2 linked regions of the Astyanax mexicanus genome follow. The protein of the gene in region 1 interacts with the protein of each later gene in a pairwise test. Links are inferred from orthologs where the notes say so. Each region holds a gene or a part of one and is shown in the gene's direction. Other genes may lie near its edges. The genes, in order: aida and pinx1.

The links.
Region 2: the proteins of aida (region 1) and pinx1 interact in binary tests that used the Homo sapiens proteins (3 or more experiments, as listed by UniProt). The link is inferred for Astyanax mexicanus from reciprocal best matches to the Homo sapiens genes AIDA and PINX1.

Annotation. Positions count from the first base shown.
Region 1 is NC_064408.1:54,336,508-54,347,754, forward strand, and holds the start of aida (axin interactor, dorsalization-associated protein), read left to right. Parts: upstream 1-6,178; 5' UTR 6,179-6,362; coding exon 6,363-6,469; intron 6,470-7,771; coding exon 7,772-7,838; intron 7,839-8,001; coding exon 8,002-8,055; intron 8,056-9,460; coding exon 9,461-9,515; intron 9,516-11,247. UniProt on the Homo sapiens protein: Acts as a ventralizing factor during embryogenesis. Inhibits axin-mediated JNK activation by binding axin and disrupting axin homodimerization. This in turn antagonizes a Wnt/beta-catenin-independent dorsalization pathway activated by AXIN/JNK-signaling.
Region 2 is NC_064408.1:71,111,328-71,123,374, reverse strand, and holds the start of pinx1 (PIN2/TERF1-interacting telomerase inhibitor 1), read left to right. Parts: upstream 1-7,439; 5' UTR 7,440-7,477; coding exon 7,478-7,514; intron 7,515-9,874; coding exon 9,875-9,984; intron 9,985-11,176; coding exon 11,177-11,269; intron 11,270-11,378; coding exon 11,379-11,460; intron 11,461-12,047. UniProt on the Homo sapiens protein: Microtubule-binding protein essential for faithful chromosome segregation. Mediates TRF1 and TERT accumulation in nucleolus and enhances TRF1 binding to telomeres. Inhibits telomerase activity. May inhibit cell proliferation and act as tumor suppressor.

The DNA of each region.
Region 1 (11,247 bases):
CACAGGAAGCTCAGATGGAAACACTGCCTCCCTACCATACATTAGAAGAAATGGTGAATGTTTCGTGGTAGTGTGGACCTTTGAGCGCAGGGAAAAGAGTGTGGCATCAAGAAAGACATCCCAGTCATTCTGCTTTTCATTGACCAACTTTTTCAGGGCTCTGTAACCATAAAGTAATGACACAAGTTGAAAAACAAAGTTTGCTAAGAAGTTTATGCAGGATTGAGAGTGTGGGAAGAAGAATACAAATATCAAATGTTCAAACATACACACAGCTCTGGAGAACACAAGAGAGGATGAGGATGAGCATGCAATAAGGCACAGGGTTGGGGAATCGCAGCAGTCTCAACTTCAAACCCGAGCAGGTCAGCAATTTGTCCTTAAGGCATCAAATAGCTTATACATCCAATAAAACTATTCTCTTCATCTAAGCACAATTTCATAATTTCTTAAAATATTTGGCTTGTTTGGAAAAGTAAAAAAAATGTTTATATAAATGTGATGATCACTACAAATCTTACATTACTTATACACCAACACTCCAACACTATATAATATTCCATTTGCTCCATTGCTTAGTTCCAAGTATCATTATCTTTAATTACAAAAATACATGTACTCATACAAAAAATGGTATCTAGGCTTCCCTAGAATATACACAGGCAGAATAAATGTCAGCAGCAGCAGTCACTTTATCTTGAAGACCAAATTAAAATTACATCCTACCGTTTTATGTTATCATTTGTCTTTTCATCAAGCCCATTCGTTTGAGGGTGGTAGGCTGCTGTCACACTCCTTTCAATATGGAGCATGTCACACAGCCTTTGGTTTAGCTTCAAAAAGAAAATGATTGTAGTTAACAAATCTCTCAGAAAAAAATCGTTAGATTTTCCTCAATTTGGCCAATAAAATATGTAACATTTCCCATTACATTGTGTGAACACTAACTGAAAAACAGATAAATGCATATTTTAAACAACAACAACAAAAAACAAACACACAATAAAACAAATACAACACACAGATTTTATACACGGTATTGTAACACACTTACTTCATTAACAAATTCTCGCCCCTGATCTGAGAGAATTCTTTTTGGACAGCCATGACAGTAAATTATAGAACATAAGTGTTTCCCCACTTCAGCTGCAGATTTACTTCTTAGTGGAAAGGCCTCAACCCACTTGGAGAAGTAATCAGTAACTGTCAATATGTATTGACAGCCATCTGATGTTTCAGGTAATGGGCCAGTTAGGTCAATGCCAACAAGCTCCCACACCGCAGACACCTACCAGTAAAAAAACAAAAACAAAAAAAAAACAATTGCATCATGTATTTCGAAAGAACTGGTCATCAGAATTGTGTTACTGAATGCATTTACCTTAATGCACTGTAGCGGCTGTGCAACATCCAGGGGTTTCCCTACTTTCTGGCACTTGTCGCATTCCAAGACCTTCAGGCATAAATGTGTTAATATACCAATGACACTTGCAATTATATAATAGTTAAAACAGAAAAAGAAATAAACATACCCAATTTTCTATATCAATGGTCATGCCTGGCCAGTAAAACCTGGCACACATGGCACTACGTGTCTTCATGACACCCGAGTGTCCACCGATTGGGCTGGAATGAAACTCCTCGAACATAACCCTGGCGTCCTCCTTTTTTTTAATGACCTTTCTTTTCATTTCAAAGAAGAGGTCTCCATCTGAATTGAAAATGGACCACACAAAAGTTTATAGCACAAAGCACATTCAAATAAAGTTACTAAGCCTATAAAATCTATCCTACCTGCAGTACTGATACTGGTAGCGCATTCTGATAAGGTAATTTAGTCTATAAATATATCCTACCTACCTATCCTACCTACCTACTGGTAGCGCATTCTGATAAGGTAATTTAGTCTATAAATCTATCCTACCTACAGTGTAAATGCTGGTAGCACAATCTGATAAGGTAATTTAGTCTATAAATCTATCCTACCTACAGTGTAAATGCTGGTAGCGCATTCTGATAAGGTAATTTAGTCTATAAATCTATCCTACCTGCAGTACTGATACTAGTAACGCATTCTGATAAGGTAATTTAATCTATAAATCTATCCTACCTACAGTGTAAATGCTGGTAGCACATTCTGATAAGGTAATTTAGTCTATAAATCTATCCTACCTACAGTGTAAATGCTGGTAGCACATTCTGATAAGGTAATTTAGTCTATAAATCTATCCTACCTACAGTGTAAATGCTGGTAGCACATTCTGATAAGGTAATTTAATCTATAAATCTATCCTACCTGCAGTACTGATACTGGTAGCACATTCTGATAAGGTAATTTAGTCTATAAATCTATCCTACCTACAGTGTAAATGCTGGTAGCACATTCTGATAAGGTAATTTAGTCTATAAATCTATCCTACCTACAGTGTAAATGCTGGTAGCACATTCTGATAAGGTAATTTAATCTATAAATCTATCCTACCTGCAGTACTGATGCTGGAAGCACATTCTGATAAGGTAATTTAATCTATAAATCTATCCTACCTACAGTGTAAATGCTGGTAGCGCATTCTGATAAGGTAATTTAGTCTATAAATCTATCCTACCTGCAGTACTGATACTGGTAGCACATTCTGATAAGGTAATTTAGTCTATAAATCTATCCTACCTACAGTGTAAATGCTGGTAGCGCATTCTGATAAGGTAATTTAGTCTATAAATCTATCCTACCTGCAGTACTGATACTGGTAGCACATTCTGATAAGGTAATTTAATCTATAAATCTATCCTACCTACAGTGTAAATGCTGGTAGCGCATTCTGATAAGGTAATTTAGTCTATAAATCTATCCTACCTGCAGTACTGATACTGCTAGCACAATCTGATAAGGTAATTTAGTCTATAAATCTATCCTACCTACAGTGTAAATGCTGGTAGCACATTCTGATAAGGTAATTTAGTCTATAAATCTGTCCTACCTACAGTGTAAATGCTGGTAGCGCATTCTGATAAGGTAATTTAGTCTATAAATCTATCCTACCTGCAGTACTGATACTGCTAGCACAATCTGATAAGGTAATTTAGTCTATAAATCTATCCTACCTACAGTGTAAATGCTGGTAGCACATTCTGATAAGGTAATTTAGTCTATAAATCTGTCCTACCTACAGTGTAAATGCTGGTAGCACATTCTGATAAGGTAATTTAGTCTATAAATCTATCCTACCTGCAGTACTGATACTGGTAGCACATTCTGATAAGGTAATTTAGTCTATAAATCTATCCTACCTACAGTGTAAATGCTGGTAGCACATTCTGATAAGGTAATTTAGTCTATAAATCTATCCTACCTACAGTGTAAATGCTGGTAGCACATTCTGATAAGGTAGGTTAATCATTTTTCATTATCACTACAGCAGCAGCAAGAATTCACTGACCTTTTACTTGAAACTTGGAGGCATATCTCCTGAGGTTCTGCCTTTGCGATTTGTTATAAGCATTAGGGTATGTTCCCACGGCCAAAAATGCATAAATCGTATCCCACTTCTCTTCCATCGCTGCAATTATCAACTGAATCTAATAAAGCACATGTGAACAAAGGCTTAATAATGAAATATTTATGCCCCAAAACACAATAAAAGGCTTAATAATTAAATATTTCTGCCCCAAAACACGTTAACGTTAAAAAGCTTAATAATGAAATATTTATGCCCCAAAACACGATAAAAGGCTTAATAATGAAATATTTCAGACATTTTGACCCTAACTTACACGTGTAGTAATAATCAAGTGAATTTAATAAAGCATATGTGAACAAAGGCTTAATAATGAAATATTTCTGCCCCAAAACACGATAAAAGGCTTAATAATGAAATATTTCTGCCTCAAAACACGTTAAAAGGCTCAATAACTAAATATTTCCACCATTTTGACCCTACACGTGTTAGATAAGTTACACGTGTAGTGTTAATCAACTGAATGTAATAAAGCGTATGTGAACAAAGGCTTAATAACGGAATATTTCTGCCCCAAAAACACGATAAAAGGTTTAATTATGAAACATTTCTACCTCAAAACACGATAAAATGCGCTAAATACGCGTTACTAACCGTGAATCCGAGAGCACCATCTGCCAGCAGCACGAAATTATGGGCGTGGCTCTGAATACCAGAAAACTGATGTTGCGCATGCGCAATAGCCCTTGGTAGGACGTTTCGATGGGTAGCATGGATTTTCAGGACACCGGTTAATGGAGAGCCTGGTCACCTCCTGTCTCTCCGTTACATCAGAAAACCACTGCGCACCGCTAGAGGGAGCCCGCGAGAGAGCCCTAAATGAATGGGGAGACGTGGAGCTAAACTACTAAAAACACAAAATAAAAAAATATTAACTACATTTAAGATGTTCCTTAAACACTGCCTGGCCACCAACAAAGTCGCCACCAAAAAAAGGTCACACATGCTAATATTTTGTTGAACCACCTTTAGCTTTGATTGCGTGGAGCTTTGTGTCAATAAGCTTCTGCAATGTACCAACACTAATTTCTTTCCAGTGTTGCATCCATATTTCACCAAGATCTTGCAGCATTGATGATGGTAGAGTCTGACCGCTGCACAAAACTTCTCCAGCACATCCTAAAGATTCTCAATGAGGTTAAGATCTGGACTCTGTGGTGAACAATCCATGTGTGAAAATGATGATCTCATGCTGCCTGAGTCACTCTTTCACAATTCCAGCCCCATGAATTCTGGCATTGCCATTCCATGACCACAAGGTGTGTATTTCTACATGGTTGTTTAAGAAATGAGAAGCAACTGGGGTTTAATAACTTGCTGCCAGCTGTTAGACAATCACCCATGCAGTAATTATCCAATAGGAGGCTTTTTGCTTATGCTGTCCATACGCTACATAACTTTGAAAAAACGCTGAAAAGATTTGTAATATACTAAAGTCTGACACCCTCTTACATCTAAAGACAAGTCACATACTTTTTAATCACAGGCTAAGATTTTGCTAATTTTTGCCTTACACCTAACGATTTTCAAACGATTTTTCTGTCGCAAACAAATTTCCAGAGTCAGGATAAAATCAAGAGAGTCTGGCTAGAGTCAAGCTGTTTTAGATAGAATTAATGCAATAAAGAACATAATTCTTGCAAAATGTGTATTTAATTAACTTGTTTGTATCAAAAATAAAACTGCACAATAAGACAAAGCAGTGCAAAAATATATTTTTAAATAGAATGACTTTAAAGTGCTGCCTGTGTTTAAAATACTGTACATATTAAAGTAAGAACCATATAAGGCATATTAACTGCAAAATGTGTTCTGTTTTAAACCGTTTGTAAACAATCACGTAAAATATTATTGCCTTGTGGTTTCCCGTAGCTCTTCTATTGGTTGTTGACATTGCTCTCGTGAAACTGTGATTCTTTGCTAAACATGATTGTAGCAAAAAAAAAAAAAAAAAAAAGGGGGGGGGGGAAGCTTATAGGCAGAGTTGAACACAAAATGTATTCTATAAAAAATATCAAGAACAAAATACAGTGCGGCAGAAAACTGTTAATGGGGACAAAGGTGGTGAGTCTCTGATAAATCACAGCGATATTCACATTATTTGTTACTTAATATATATGTATTGTATGTAAATTCCAACAGAGGCATGAGAGGAAAGAAATCTCAGAAAGACTGCAAATATCCCCAGTCTTTGTAAACTCTTAGCCTGTGACTTAAAAGTCTGTGAGTAAAAAGTCTGTAAATAAAAAGTCTGTGACTTGTCTTTAGATGTAAGGGGGTCAGACTTTTTTCTGTAAAAAGTTTTTACTAAGTCGTGTAAGGACACTGTTAGGTGTAAGGTCGGCATTAATACAGGGGGTGACTTGTTTTGGCCAGACGGTGTATTTCGGAACGTAGAATTAAGTATTATGCAAAAAGCAAATATAACTAGGCTGTATGTTTACATTTCTCTACAGTAACGGGGTTTACATGCGCTGCATTCTGCTGCTACTCGTTTAAAGTGTTTATTATGAGTGGAGTTTAAAAGCTCTCCTGTGCTGAATGATGTGATCTCGCACCCCCTGGTGGAGGCGCCGTAGAGTGGGCGGTCTCCTGTGTGGAGGGTCTGTGGTGAGGACCCGGATTGAGACTTTTACAGTAGGTATGTGTGCGGCGCTCGACTCGCAGCACTTCCGCTGGGGTGATGCGCAGTGTGTGGCTGCGCGCGCAGCAGGGCTGGGTCTCGGTGTGTAGCTGTGTCGCCGGTTCATCTGTAGCCCGTGGAGGAGCAGCTGATCCACAGCCATGCAGAGCAGAGGAGCCCCGGCAGCGCCGCTGACCTGAACCCCCCGGGAGCGGCGCGGGAAGATGACCGATGTCACCAAGACCCTCCACAAGTGGCACGCGAGCTTCAGGAAGGGCACGGACTTCGACTCGTGGGGGCAACTGGTGGAGGCGATAGATGAGTACCAGATGTGAGTAGACTGTGGAGGGAGGGAGGGAGGGAGGGAGCGAGCGAGCGGCGCGGGGCTCACAGAGCTCTGTGAGTGTGAGTGTGAGTGGGCAGCAGGCTGGTGTTGAGTGTTTGGTGTCTGTTTAGCAGCGCTGTAATACCGCGGGCGGGCGGGTCAGTGAGCGCCAGCGGACCCCCCTCTCTCTCCCTCCCGCAGTAACTGTACATGTTGCAGAACTGCCGCCACACCCTCCTCCTCCTCCTGCTCCTGCTGCTGCTGCTGGTTGTTCCTGTGGGCGGAGCTTCTCCCAGAGGTTCTCTGAGTCGGGGGTCTCTGATCAATAACCGCTGATCACTCAGTGATACACTAATAACTCACACCCACCTCTAATCAAACTACTATAATAACAGAATAAGGGTCAGTAACCCTTATTCATTGAGTTCTCTAACGGAGGAAAAATCGAGATAAAAATGGGTGTAAACTTCATTTAATTTGGGGTTTCATATTTTATTATTTTAAGTAGGCTGGTTTATAACATTCAGAATTCTGTTACAAAAGTGGGAAAAACAGAAAGTAGACTGTATGAAATCCAATTACATCACTAAATGTAACAAAATGAATAATGAGTTTTAGTAGTGCTAGCAGGTTCTGTGATTCATTAATGTAAACCAATCGCATGTAATCACGTTCTTCAGTATTTTAAACTGCACTGTTCAATTAAATTAGTACATTAATGAATAACTCGACTTAAAAGCTCCACATCAGCCAGAAACAGATGCTGAAAACACTGTATATCTCTCACAACTAAACACCAATTTTATAGAGCTTCACCTTTATTCACCTAATACATTACGAACCAAATTTAGAAGACGCTCTGGCCCACTCAAATACAGTGCAACTACACTCTAATATATTTTCTACAGTAATAGCTGAAATATGTTGCTCTGTAATAATAAAACATACCAGCCCAGCTTAAAACCCTTAAAATGAGACAGTAACAGTATTTAGATATTTACAATATTACAGACAAATGTAATAAAAATACTTCTTTATTATGTTGGTCAATACAGTAATTGTTTTCAATGAACATCTTTTTTTTATTTATATAATCTGCCTTGGCACTTTTATTATGAAGCCAAAATGTTAGATTAGCGATAATGCAGTGCTGGTTAGATACTGGAATGCAGCTAGCGGCTCAATGCAGTCGAACTCGGCAGTAAGGATTGCAGTGTTAGCTTAGATGCTAACTGTTGAAAAGTTTGCTGATTTTTGATATCAGAAGGATGTTATATTATGCTGTTTTTTTGCTTTTTTGTTTGACAGACTTGCAAGGCAGCTGCAGAAAGAGGTCCAGTCATCAAATTCACATGATTTTACAGAGGAGCAGAAGGTAGGTAGAGGTACTTTAGTCATGTCTGCTTCAAGTTTGAAATATCCCTGTGCCTTAATCAGATATAGAATCAGTATTTACAAATTAAACAAGACCTATAATGTTTCCTAGAACTATTAAGTATAAATGTTCATAATCATTTCCATATGTCTTTTTTCCCCAGAAAAACCTGGGAAAGATTGCAACATGTCTTGAAATGCGAAGTGCATCCTTACAGGTGTGTAGTCTTGCTGCTCTGTATACAAAATAGCTCACCAATAAATAATTTTAAGCCTGGTTCAATGTTAAGGTTAGTTTTAAGTTAATGTGGATCAAATGCAGGAACTTGTGGTAAAGTACAGCTGGTGATTGGAGGTTTTCATACACTCATCATGACATGTCATGTCAATATTTGGTAACTATTAGCAACTTTTTGGAGCAGAACTCTTGCATGCATATTGAAACACTTTCACTTTCAAATTTGTTTCATGCATGTCCTTTTGGAATACCCAGTGTCAACAATCTAGCTGTCCATTATTCTATTATTCTCTGTGCAATTTACCCTTGCCACAGGCAGCAAAACATCCTCAGAGCATGGTGCTACCTCCACCATGCGTGACAGATAGTACATGGTTCTGGTGCTAAATGCCACTTATATTTCCCAAATATACTTGTGGCCAACTCAAGCTTTTTTCTATATGACCGTAAATCTCCCCATATGGTCAACTTCAAACATAGATAATGTTTTATACCACTGCCTCCCAATTCCCCGGTGTTGTAAATAGACAATGGTGTTCATATGAGGGGGAAATTTGTGTCTTCTTACAGAACTGTGCAAAGTGACTACACCTCCTTATCTTGAAGAGTATAAAAAATACTCCTGTACTTACTTTCCTGTTTTACTGTATACCAACATGTCAGTCTGATAAGTGCTGTTCATGTGTGCTGTAATGTACTCTGTCACACTCACTAACATCACATTTAAAGGCTTTTACAAAATAAAATTCAAGATGTGATCCAAGACAGAACTACTGGTATGCTGGTAAGACAAGCAAATCAAGACTACCATATAAATGCACAGCATAAGTATAAGCTACATAGAGGGGGTCATAAGTACAAAACTCCCTCACCAAACTTAACATTTCAAGTTTGTTTCGGATATTATGAGAAATAAGTAATGAAATAAGTAATAGGGGCTGATTAAGTCTACATAGAAGTCTTTAGCCACAATAAGCAAATGTACAGTTGGGGAAAAAAGGAAGATGTCAAACAATCTGGAAGCAATATATCAGGATAATAAAGGATCTAAAATATACCTCAAAACCACATACACAAAAGATTTCACAGTGGCCCTCACAGTCCCCTTACTTAAAGGGCATAGAATTAACTTTAAAGAATTTTAACTGAGCGAGGTGCATTTGCAACACATGATTTCTGACAGACGGTGCAATGGGGTGCTTTCTTTGTACGATGCCCAAACCTCTTGCACAGGACACAGCAATGAGTTCAGTATATAAGCTATATACAGTCATATATATTTATATCTTTGTAATGTATTATATTATACAGAGTAGTTTTGGCTTAAATATATTAAAAGTTAATGTCCAAACATCATTCTCACCATCTTTTTTTTATGTTTTTAGTACAACCAATCCCAAGAAGATTTTAAGTTGGAAGACTTGAAGAAACTGGAACCCAGTATGTACACTAAGACATGTGTATATAGTTGTTGTTTAATGTTATATTAAGATTAATTCTATGGAAGTTTGCTGTTTAAATATAATACAATACAATATAATATTTTGTATTTTTATACTCTTGCCCTTCAGGACTGGAGCTGTTGATTTTATATGTTTATATTCAGTGGTGTGAAAAAGTGTTTGCCCCTTCATGATTTCTATTTTTTTTTTTTGTATGTTTGTCACTCTTTAATGTTTTAGATTATCAAATACATTTTAATATTAATCAAATGCATCACAATTAAACACAAAATGCAGTTTTTAAATGAAGATTTTCATAATTAAGGAAAAAAAAATCTAAACCTACATGACCTTGTGTGGAAAAAGTAACATAACTGTGGTTCATTACACCTGAGTTTAGTTTCTCTTTTCACACCCAGGCCTGATTATTGTCACGCCTGTCCTTAATCAAGAAATCACTTAAACAGGACCTGCCTGAAAAAGAGAAGTAGACCAAAAGATTCTCAAAAGCAAGACATCCTGCCAATATTCAAAGGAATTCGGGAAAAAATTGAGAAAGAACTTTGTTGAGATCTATCAGTCTGGAAAAAGGTTAAAAAAAAACATTTTTAAAGTTTGGTGCTCCAGTGAACCACAATGTTAGCTATTGTCCCCAAATGGCGAAAACAAGGAACAGTGGTGAACCTTCCCAGGAGTGGCCATTCAACCGAAATTACCCCAAGAGGTGTAGACTCATCCAAGAGGTCACAAAAGACCCCACAACAACATCCAAAGAACTGCAGGCCTCACTTGCCTCAGTTAAGGTCAGTGTTCATGACTCCACCATCAGAAAGAGACTGGGCAAAATGGCCTACATGGCAGAGCTCCTAGATGAAAACCACGGCTGAGCAAAAAAAGACAAGGCTGGTCTCAATTTTGCCAGCAAACATCTTTATGATTCCCAAGACTTTTGAGAGATTACTCTGTGGAGTGATGAGACAAAACTTTAACTTTTTGTAAGGTGTGTGTCCCATTATATCTGGCATACAGGTAACACCACCTTTCAGAAAAAGATCATCATACCTACGGTAAAATACATACCTACAGACTTGCTGTGATTAATAAAAACATGAATTCTGCTGTCTACCTAAAAGTCCTGAAGGAGAATGTCCGGCCATCTGTTCCTCATCTGTGACCTGAAGCTGAAATGAACGTGGGTTCTGCAGCAGGACAGTGATCCAAAACACACCAGCAAGTCCAACCTCTAAATGGCTGAAGAAAAACAAAGTGAAGACTTTGGAGTGGCCTAGTCAAAGTCTTGACCTACTATTGAGCTGCTGTGGCATGACCTAGGTTTAGGGGCAAACACTTTTTCACACAGGGCCATGTAGATTTGAATTTTTTCTCCCTAATAATAAAAACCTTCATTTAAAAACTGCTCATATTTACAGGTCCTTCTCAAAAAATTAGCATATTGTGATAAAGTTCATTATTTTCTGTAATTTACTGATAAACATTAGACTTTCATATATTTTAGATTCATTACACACAACTAAAGTAGTTCAAGCCTTTTATTGTTTTAATATTGATGATTTTGTCAGAAAAGTAAAGAAAAAACTAAAATCTCAAAAAAGTAGCATATTTCATCCGACCAATAAAAGAAAAGTGTTTTTAATACAAAAAAGTCAACCTTCAAATAATTATGTTCAGTTATGCACTCAATACTTGGTCGGGAATCCTTTAGCAGAAAT
Region 2 (12,047 bases), about 17 Mb from region 1:
CTAGTACGAATGAATGCCATGTAAGCCAGTTTTTTGTGAAGAAAGTTTTCTGGTGCTCCTGTTTCAGGCTGTTTTAGTACAGTAGATGAGTGGACAGAAAAGAAAGACTCTTACCAATAAAATTGGATATTAATAACATCCAAAGGTATCGTCTCTGAGTGGTTATTAGCACTATGACACTTTTCCCATAGATGGATGCAAGCCAAGTTGGCCAAGGCCATGAATCCTAATTTATGTGGCTTTTCCCGATTCATTCGTGTTTGTTTTATTGAATAATGTGTGCAATGGAATTAGAAGAACAGTTTCACGTGCAGCATACAACTCTGCGTGACCTAATCTATTTAAAAAAGTACAAGTACTAAATGCTTTCTAGCAAAATTACAACTGTGCGTTTTGCGTGTTTAAAGCAGCGCAAGGTAGATCTTTTTGGCCGTTACCATAGTGAAGACACACTGACGCGATTTAAGTCAAGCCTAAATATAGGGTGCAGAGACTTTGCTGAGAGAAAGACAGAGTCAAAAACATTCCTCTGAAGGAGCTGCAAGCTATGTCTGATTGATGTGCCTCAGGTAAGAGGTGGAGCATAGTCACAGCACATGACTGGGGAATGTGAATTCGCCACTGAGGCCAGCAGAGGGAGACATTACAAAAACCATATTCACACTTTTGACTCCTTAACCTCGGAACTACACTGCCTGGCTAAAAAAAGTGGCCGTCTGGATTTAAGTAAGTAAATGATGTGGGGTTGGTGCTACAGTTGGTCAGATTTAGGTCCAGCAACAGTATGTGCTGAAAGAATGAGGTCAGCTGACTACCTGAATATAGACCAGCTTATTCCATTAATAGATTTGTTTTGTTTCTTCCCTGATGACCGAGAATATTCCCAGATAACAATGTCAGGATTCATGGTGCTGGAATTGTGAAAGAGTGATTCAGGGAGCATGAGATCATCATTTTCACACAAGGATTGTTCACCACAGAGTCCAGACCTTAACCTCATTGGGTGCTTTTCCACCGGCATGGTGCCAGTGCTGGTGCCAGGTTCCCGAACGGTTCTTTCCATTTCTACCGCAAAATCACAGCTTCTGGGCCAGGAACTTGCTGGTCTGGAACCAGCGAACCTGTGACGCGAGCGGCCAAAGGGTGGGGCGCTGAATCGTCTCTGGGGCAAAGTTGTTTACAAACCTCACCTCCATTCACAGCTAAGAGCAGCAGAAGCAGCTAAATGAATAAAAAATATTCAATAGTGGTCCACCGAGGACAGCAGCACAAGTTTTAAAAGGAGCTCGGGTTCTGCCTTGTTGTTTTCAAATCGCCCCCGACTTCTGTTGATGCCCACATTCACATACGTAGTGAGTGACTCCTTGAAGCAGTGGAAACACGGGCCGGTTCTTAAAAGGTTTGCAGGAACCGGCTCCGGCACCAGCACTTTTTTGGTGGAAAAGAGGTAATTGAGAATCTTTGTGATGTGCTGGAGAAGACTTTGTGCAGCGGTCAGACTCTACCATCATTAATGCAACACTTGAAATAAATCTTGTGACATTGCAGAAGCTTATGGAAACAATGCCACACTGCGGTTCAAAGATAAAGGCGGTCCAATCAAATATTAGAGTGTGCGACTTTTTTTTGGTGGCAAATTTCTTTTGACCAGGCAGTGTATATCATGTCTTTTGTCTCACATTTGTCTAACGCTAGGTCTTCTAAACAGTTTTAGAAGGAACATCTGTGACAAAGTTGCTCTCTAAATAATACCTATTCCCCTATCTGGGAATAATTCCAAATATCTCTCCAGGAACTTTTGAGTAAAAAAAAAATATATATATTCATATGGGCAGTTCTTTTAACTGCCAGCAAAAGAAAAAATTCTAGGGCTGGAAACTATATTTAAAGCCCATAATGTCTAGATTTGGTAACATTTAATTTATATAATTTATAATACTATATTGGTGCATTATAGTGGCCTTTAGCAGTCAGAAGTGTTAACTTGCTTTTACAGCCTTCAACACGGGACCAAACAGCGGTTCCTCAATTTATTACAAATAACATATAGGGGAAAATTAACCTGGGGGACTCACTATACATTGAGGACGAGTAAGGTGAAGAAAGACATACCCACTATGCATATATAGGGTTCCAGAGGCCAATGGGAAAGTTGTCTTACTCATTGAGGTTGCAGTACCCAAATATCCCAAGTACCCCTCGCTGCAGAACCACAAGTCCAGGGGGTGGGGCTGGATCTGATCCAAGGGGTGGAGCCTGACCTCCTGACCACCCATATCTTCTTTTCATTGGTTTTAAGTCATCGCATTTCAATTCGTTGTTAAACATAACACGTGTCGCTTACGTTTCCCGACCAGGACTTTTATCTTATCAAATAAATCCTGGAAAATGTTATTTGCTACGTAGCACATTTAAATCACACAATACAGATTTAAAAGAAGGAACATGTCTGTGATTACAAACATAATAAAATGCTGTACATTTCCTATATAAATATTAACTATTTCATTTTTTATCTTTAATAAAAAGGGCCTAAAGACAAAATAAAAAATAAATAATTAAAATAAAGGATGCCAATGAGTGTCTTATCTACCAGCTACCATGTTCATTTATTATTACAGATATTAATACACAATCAAAATGGCGAACAAAAAACAGAGTTCTATAAAAAGAGTGTAACGATGTATAATTTTCCAAAGAGCTTGGAAAAATGCCCAGTACACTGAGAGTATAGAATGAGGATGTTGTTACTGCCAGATTGTTATTTATATTTTTTCTTTCTCCTCTTCCCCGTTCGTGATTGTTTACTTGACTCCGAAAGGCGAGTGAGTAAAACCGGATGGGGAAGAGTCCGATCTGCTTCAGACCAATGAAAACACGACGTAGGAAGAGTTGGATCAGATCCAGCCCCACCCCCTGGACTTGTGGTTCTGCAGCGAGGGGTATCTCCAAGTATGAGGTACTCCCTAAAGCTCATTGTATTTGAACAAAATGAATAACATGACTTGGGTCAATATAAATAAATGTATTAACTCAACTCAAAACATGAGAGAAATAGATCTTACACAAAAAAAACTCAGTTTGTATGAATTACTTTGACATAATCAGCTGATTTAACCATTAACTTAATAAATACATTAAAAACAGGGTAGTTAGAATTTATAGTGAAAGCCAAGTTAAATGTATTTTTAACAACATAACAGATACCACTGACGTGTTATGCTTAAAATCTTTTCTTGAGACAAAAAGGTATTACTCAGAAAAAAACAGACAAATATCCATTTGCTGACGCAACCTTTTGGTGACCTTTGGGAAATAACTGTTCTGTGAGGTACAGCAGAATCAATAGACCTCGGGTTTGGATTTCAGCAAAGCATCAAAAACCATTTTATGGTGACGGTGCTTGACTGTCACTGGCTCATCTGTCTCAACATGCACTGTATATCACTGCTGAGACTAGATGAACCCTTTAACCTTTATCTGAGGTCTACCCTCATATGACACAGTGTTTTTTTGTTGAAAATGTACACATTAAAGCATAGAAGTATATCCTGCTAAATTGTGACAGTTGTAAACTTTTTCTTTATTTCTCATGTCTGTATATTCTGGAGATAGCATTCTAAAAAGATGTCTGTATAACCATCACACAAAACACAATTATGCAATGTACAGGTTATTACAATAGGGTGCCTTAAATTTGTTTAAAATGGTGAGAGTTATTTGAATTGCTTTATTTGAATTCGTTTACTGATTGATTATTACCAAGCACTATTTTGTGCAGTCAAACTGAGTGAGATAAAAACAAGTTTCATATCTAGGCCAGCCAAGCACCAAGATAACAGAAAAGATTGCTTAATGATAATCTACTGATATAAAATAAAATGTTACATACAATCTTATTTATCAGTCTTTCATATCATTTCTATTCAAATATTTTCTGTGTAAATGTTTTTCAAAGACGCACAGTCACGAACAGTATATATAACTGACGGTGCAAAATTTTCTAGACACAAGTCAGACAGATCTTATCGTACCACATTTCCTTCTCAGGTCTGGAGTAAGGACATTCAAGGTTACTTTGTGTGATGTGTGTTAAACCAGATCTTGGCACAGAATCTGGCACACTTTGTGCCACGTCACAAGTTCTACATGTTCTTTAAGCAATGCACAAAAGTCTCAAAGTATAGAATTAAGATGTAGGCTGGGTAATTAGTTTTTAAAAAATTGTAGTTCAGAAGACTACATTATTTAGTTTCTTCAATGTGATGTCATTTTTAAATCACACAGAAGATTTTCGACTGAGATATATAGAATAGGTATATTGTTGCTGTCTCTGTTTTTGCCTATTTTTGATTACTACATAATTTGAACACACAAACTGTCCCTTATACTAATAGAAATTATCCTAAAATGAACTCTTTTTACATTGACTTTCATTGAAAGTTAAGAAGGCTAAACAAACTATTTACTCCCTTCAATTTTTACTGCATTCATAAATGGAATCATGGTCAGTATCATTTTTACAAGAATTTCCATTTTAATGTCAAAATGAAATCAATTTCTACAGAAAAATGTCTAAAAAACAATACTATATAATATAGAATTATACAGTAATTTATATAATTTAAGTTAGATCAATGGAGATCAGCTCTGGTTCAGGGTAGGTGACCAATAGAGATTAAAGGGGAACGCCTTCTTCTAAGCCCCGCCCACCCGTGAAAAGTGTGCCAAAAATCAGAACCAAAAAAATGAAGCAGAAGCAAAGTAGAGATTCCAGAAGCAAAAGTCTTTAGCAGCAAAATCCAAAAAAATCCAAAAATGAAAGCAAAGACTGGCAAAATCCAAACTAAAATAATTTTCAAATAAGTGCAAAGAATAATAAAATAACCAAGTATATTTAAATATATATATTTGATATATATTTTTTCTCTTTTGAATTTGCAACATACATGTTTTACTTTTGATTCTTAAAATTTTGATTGTGGATTTTATTTTTTTACGTAAAACTTTTGGCACAAAATTCACTCCATAGACATATAAATCAAAAGAGGGGAATAACTTGATTGCACCTCCTTGATACATGTGTCAGAACATCTTCTCTTGATTTATTGGTTTGGCACACAAGACACTCATTTTTGTTTACTGACCGTCTGGTGGAAACCTGTAGTGCGAAGTGCCTTGTCAGCATGCCAAACAACACCTAGCCATACACAAAAAAACATGCATTGTACATTTATGGGTAGATATACCCATACCCGTACAGTTACAATCATATACATTTCATTAAAAATACCTTTCTGAGCTGTTACACAATATCCCTTAATGGTTGTGATCTGCATAACCCCTGAAATGAGTGTAGGATACCACAACCCTTCATCAACACTGCTTTTGTAAAGTAAAATGCAATCTCAGGTACCTCATTCTCGTCAGACGTTGAATTCTTGCTGCTGTAAAAATTTTTTTTTAGCTTTTTCAAGCTTTCTGTGCTTTCCTTAATTTTCTTTCTTTTTTGGGCAACGCTGGGATAAAACCGTTTCATGGTTGTGCCAAAGCTACCTTAGTCTACCTCGCCTGGCTTAACTTGGGTGTACAAAAAAGAAATAATGTGGGTTTTTTTTTTTTCGTTTTTGGCCAGCAGCCCCTGATTCCCGGGGCCCCAAGCAATTGGGTGGTTTGCATAGTTAAATCCGCCCCTGACTGCAGACTGTGCACGGAACATGCAACGTTAACAAACATGGGGTGGTGCCGAATTCAGCACCGCCATCAGGAATAGCACCCCATCATGGCAGGGGTGTTGAATTCGGCACAACACCAGCAAGCCTACTGAGCAGTGAGTAATGACGTAAGCATGCTTGGGCACAGATTGTTTAAACGCAGTGTGAGTGTAGGTCAGCAGGGGAGTGGGGAGGGCCCAACCTTTTAAATTAGCGTTGTTCCAGTCAGGTCCTATGTTACACAAAACAATTGATACAAACATTAAAGCATACTCTAAGGTAATACCATGAATGGTTAGTCTGTCTATTTATGATTTTATAGAAAAAAAAAGATCTGTCTGACTTGTGTCTAGAAAATTTTGCACCGTCAGTTATATATACTGTTCGTGACTGTGCGTCTTTGAAAAACATTTACAGTGAGTTAGCTAGTTTACCTAGGTCATCTGGTCAGTGAGTTACCTAGCTACTTAACCTAGGTTATCTGGTCAGTGAGTTACCTAGCTACTTAACCTAGGTCATCTGGTCAGTGAGTTAGTGGGTTAGCTAAGCTAGTTAGGTTACCTAGTCAGTGAGTTAGCTAGTTAACCTTAACCAGCACTTACTTGGCTTTACCCTGGGGCATAATAACTAGCTTAGCTAACCCACTAACTCACTGACCAGATGACCTAGGTAAACTAGCTAACTCACTGACTAGGTAGGTTAGTGTTCACTAACTAACTAGTATAATTTAAGCATGGATATTTAGCACACCCCGCTAACATGAGCATCTTAATAGAGTTAAACACTTACTTAAAAAAGAAATATAACATTAATCATAACGTCTGTATGAAATTTAATTGGAAAAGTACCTGCTGGTGCTGCTGTGAGCTGAACCCCGTTCGCTCCGCCATGTTTGGAAGAGCGCTTGAAGCTGGCGGGGTGGGCGTGGTCTGTCTCAGACGAGGGTTCAGGGCAGAGCCATAGAGAGATCAGGTCCTATGTTACACAAAACAATTGATACAAACATTAAAGCATACTCTAAGGTAATACCATGAATGGTTAGTCTGTCTATTTATGATTTTATAGAAAAAAGATTAATTACCTTGAAATATCTATAAAATTATTTTTTAAGTGAAAAAATAAATATGGATTGTAATGTTTGTACTTTTATGTGAAGCAAATATAAAAACATCTATTTTTCTCTTGCAAGATAAATATTCTTTATAAAGAGTCCAACCATTGTTTCAGTCAATGGTAAATTTTAATGCCCAATGAGATAGAATTCCAGGTTTAGATCTAGGGACCACGTAAAAAGGCAGAACCACCTAGTTCAGTCATTACAGACCTCCACAATTCATGTAGCTTCAGATCAGATCAATAACAAAGGAGCGGTTCATGTAAGGGGGTTTCCATGGTCAAGCAGCTCCATCCAATCCTTACCTCACCCAATACAAATGAGCGTATAATATAGTATACAAGAGTGTATATTTAGGGAGAACATTGTAGAAGGACTTTAAAATGAACTTTAAAAAGGAACACGCTACAATGTCGACCTCTAGTGTCAGCACTTTTAATAGACATAATAAATTAAAGAGGGCTTTAAACTGCCCACGTAAAACTAAAAACACAAAACATATTTAAAACATATATTTACCTAAACATATATACATCTCTAAAATGTATGGGATAATATTTTTATATTCGTCATAATACACAAAATATATAAAACTAAAAAAATATTTTACACTCAGGCATAGGTGGGGAAGCCTGGCGGCAGCGTCCACATGCTCCAGGACCCCACGATGTCCATGCTTGCTGAACGTGAGTTGATAGTTTGTTTTGCTTTATTTTTGGTTGTTCGTGGTTTCTCGTGCTCTATAGTGTCAGTGTTGACCCTGGATATGTGGTTTACACCCGTACCTGTGCTGCCAGGCTTTAATAGAATCGTTTTCCTCGTTTTAAAGTTAATCAGAAGATCAGCCGGTGCGCTCGGGTTAGCTAGTGCTAGTTAGCTGTAGCTCTGTAGATGTGGCTCTGGGGCAAAACACACTAATGATCAGTCAGATTATTACACACACACACACACGCTGCTCTAATAGTCGTATATTAGGTCAGAGCTGTCAGACTTCAGTCTTAGATGGCCTTAATAATACTCTGCCTAGATCTACACATTAGATAATTAACTAAAGTTACATCAGTTCACGCATCTGTTGTTGTATTTTATATTGGAGCAGTAAAGTGAAAGTGATCATTTGACCTGTTCTGAGCTCATTTTAGACCAGCGCTCATGAGTCTAGCTCAGACTTGTCGCTCAGATTCTTCAGTAAGTTATTGTTATCTAGTTAACAACAGGGTCAGATTTAATGGGTGTGTCAAAACAGGGAAATCCAGCTGTCCCCAGCGCTTACCAGCACTGCCAATGGGCTCTTGGGGGTCTTTCGCACCTGAAAGTCTAGACCAGAGTCTAACGTATACTAAATTTTATGTGTTTGGGGAACCGATAAAAGTGTTGTGTCCGGGGTGTTCTGTCGAGTTGTGCTACCTTTTCAAACCGTGCTACCCTAATGTATATATGTATATATACTGTAAAATACAGAAGAAGCTCAATATTAGAGCATGTTCACATTAGATGTAGCTAGTTTAGTATATTTGAAAAACATAAATTGCTGTATCTTGGTAAAGTTATGGCAATGAGAAGTCATTACAAACTGCTTTTGTGTTTTTTCTAAAATATTAATTATTGTACTTATTATTATTCATTTCCATTTACACGTTTATGCAATTACAAAGAGTGAGTCCAGGTTGTTTCATGCACAGAAAAAAACAGATATTAAAAACATAAACAATAATTATTTCCTGTAGGTCACCGCATGCGCAGTGCCTTTATGAAACACGTATGGATGGGTAGCATAACTCGACAGGACACCTGTTAAAAGTAAGCTTAGCTTGATAATGAATTTAAGTTAGTGCTTACCACTTCCCCTCTGTTTTATTATTTAATTACGAAATCAATAAGAGGGGTTCTGCTTTCCACTTGCTAGTTAGCTTGCTAACCCCTAGCTATATTATGTAAGTATCTGTAAGATTGGTAACCTTACACCAGTCTATTACGTTTGGATTCTGCATTTTACTCAGTTCCCCGTGTTTCTCACATTGTATAAATTTGCTTCAGTTTTGGTTTAGTGAGCTGTGGGAGAGTGCCGTGTTGTATTGTACACAATAATATCACAAATATTTTTGAATATTGTTATCACTAAAATATGCTAAAATATTGTGATATTAATTTAGTGCCATTTAGTGCAATAATCATGCAATAATGTTGCCAAATAAAACTAAATACTTGTTTTGTTGCAGCAGTGTATTTTTAAAATTGTATATGTTTTTAGTTCAATATTTTTTCCTATCACCAAAAATATCATTATCACAAAAATACCCTGAAATATTGTCATATAGCTCACCCCTAGTGAGTGGATTAAAGAACCGTACTACATCATGTCTCTCTATACTTCATATAAATTGGTTTCAGTTAAATCCCTTTTCACACCTGCTACTTTAGTTCAGACCCAAACTGAAAGTTCTGAAACTCCGGACTAAACAGGGCAGGTGTGAAAGCATCCTAATGCCCTCTCCAGACGGGATTAGTTTCTCAGGGGACGCCTGTAAAAAATATTTCTCACACTTCTACTCAGTGATTTAAACTCTTGCATCCGGACTGCAATTAATAAAACAGGAGGACCAGAGAGTTTTTTTTGGCTTTCTCGGTCATGTGACATCACGTTCAGTAGCTCCTCCGTTTTTATATGCTGTTGTGTTTACGTGAATCTCCATGAAACGTGAAGTGTAAGTACGGTGCGTGGCAGTGGACAAATAGCTATTTTATTAATCGCAAGGTAATCAAACTCAGAGACTACAAAACTGTAGGTAATTCAGCCTGTAATTTTCTTAGAGGACGTCTGAGAAAAACACGAAAAACATGTACATGGTCGTTCTGGACGGGAATAAAATCACAGAGAACCCCCCATAAAAGAGAAAATTACCCCAGGACCCCAAATCTCATTCGGATATGGGATAAGGGAACTTTCCTACATCCTGTCATCAGCAGAGAGCTAGACTGTCGGTTACATAATGATGATTAGTTCACTGACACTGTTGGCTGATTGCTAATTGCATTGTTGTATTAGCTCGTCGAAGGCAGAAGTGGTCTGTGGACCCGAGGAACAGTGCATGGAGCAAAGATGAGTCCAAGTTCGGCCAGAAGATGCTGGAGCGAATGGGCTGGTCCAAGGGAAAGGTAATAAAGTTCTTACATTGCCACCTCAATCAATGAAGTATTTGTACATCCTGGATTCTGCACTATATATATATATATATATATATATATATATATATATATATATATATATATATATATATATATATATATATATGCCTGAACTTGGTATTAGCAAAATGTACAAGGGGGGCAAAACCTCTCACTGGCTGTATATATTATTTATCACCATAGATTACTGTGTCTGTCAGCCAATTACACTGTGGTCAACAGCATGTAAAATGACACAAACCAATTGTACACATAAAGCAAATATACAGTTTTTGGGGAAAAACTGTTTTGTGTTTTGGCTTCAGGATGTCTTATTTCATTTGTGTTGTCTTTTAATGCAAGTTATACAAGCTGTGTTTGCACAAACTGTTTGTCAGCTATGAGTGCAAATAAACATAGTAGAATTGTCTATTTAGAATGTATTTCTGGATACCTTTACACATAGCATCCAAACATATTTGGATTTGTTTTAACAGGTTGTTTGTACATTTATTTGGGTTGATCATTAAAAAGATTACTGTCCTCTAGGTGTCAAATGCAGTGTTCTTTTTTTTGTCCTTTATTGCTTTACGTTTATACAGTATGTTGACATGACTACATAAGGTCAGAGGCACCCAGAATTAGATTTGGATTGGATGATTATGATGATGATAATGCTCTACTGTGATTATGTGATATTCAATATTTTGCAAGACATTTATCTATGATACTATGATGAATCTGTGTTGCTGAAGAGGAGAAAATACTAGGACTTGTTGATTAATTGATGTTCGTTTCATAGAATTTTACAACCAATATTCTTCACCGCAGGTTTACCCGATTCATTTGATTAGTGCCACTAGGTGGAGTAATGAAGCAGTAACTGTAATAAGTCAATTTGGGTAGTAAATCTTAGGGAATTTAGAGTACTTATGCTTTACTTGACATCAAGTATTGTTCATATGTTGAAAGTAATAGAATATATCACAATAGTTATATTTTGTCCCAACCCTACCCAAAATCCGGACTGCATTTTTTTCACAGAAACTGATCAGTTTAGGTCTAGTCCAAGACTGCATTGTAATTTGCAGTGTAATTTAACACTATGTAGTTTATTTGGCTTTATTTGTACTTTATCTGTGGCCTAATAATGCTTCTTTGTTTCTCATTTCGTTCCAATTAGGGTCTTGGAAAAACTGGGCAGGGTGCTACAGACCACATCAAGGTTAAAGTGAAAAACAACAGTTTGGGTTTAGGTGCCGCAGTCTACAATGAGGTGAGCACTTTTCTGAATCTTTGTGTGGATCCTAAATTGTTTTTTTTGTTGTAAGGTTTTAGTCAGTCACAGTATGTTATCTAAATTATGTGGTGAATGTGTCTTGTAGGATAACTGGATTGCCCATCAGGATGATTTTAATCAGCTTCTTGCTGACCTCAACAACTGCCACGGTCAGAACAGCACTGAAGGTACATTACAGATAAATGTGTTTCTTTTAATTTATTTTGTTTATTAGGTAGACCAGTTTGATTTTATGTGTTCATGTGTATTTTATAGCAGACCCAAGCTGTGTACATACTGTAGTTTGGTTATGATATTGAGTGTCTGTTACCTCTTGATAGAATATATATATATATATATATATATATATATATATATATATATATATATATATATATATATATATATATATATATATATATATATATTAATTACAAAAAATATAAAGTTATAAGGTTAAAACGTATAAGCATATCTTGTACATATAATAACTGGTTATAGCTTTTCTGCCTTTTCCCCACACTTAAAATACCACTTGGTGGTGCTGTTGTTACACAGTGCTCACACTAGGAAAGCTGGTTTACAGCGTTACTGTGTGCACTGTGACTGTGTAGTTTTCTGGTTTGAGTTGAGGTAAAATCAAATACAAATTTAGGCCGTTTTGAAAGTAATAGGAAACGCCAGCCTTATTACCAAGCATGATAATGATCTAGTTTAAAAGTAAGGGCATTAGAGCACCAGGTTGCAGTCTTTTTTATTATTATTATTATTATTA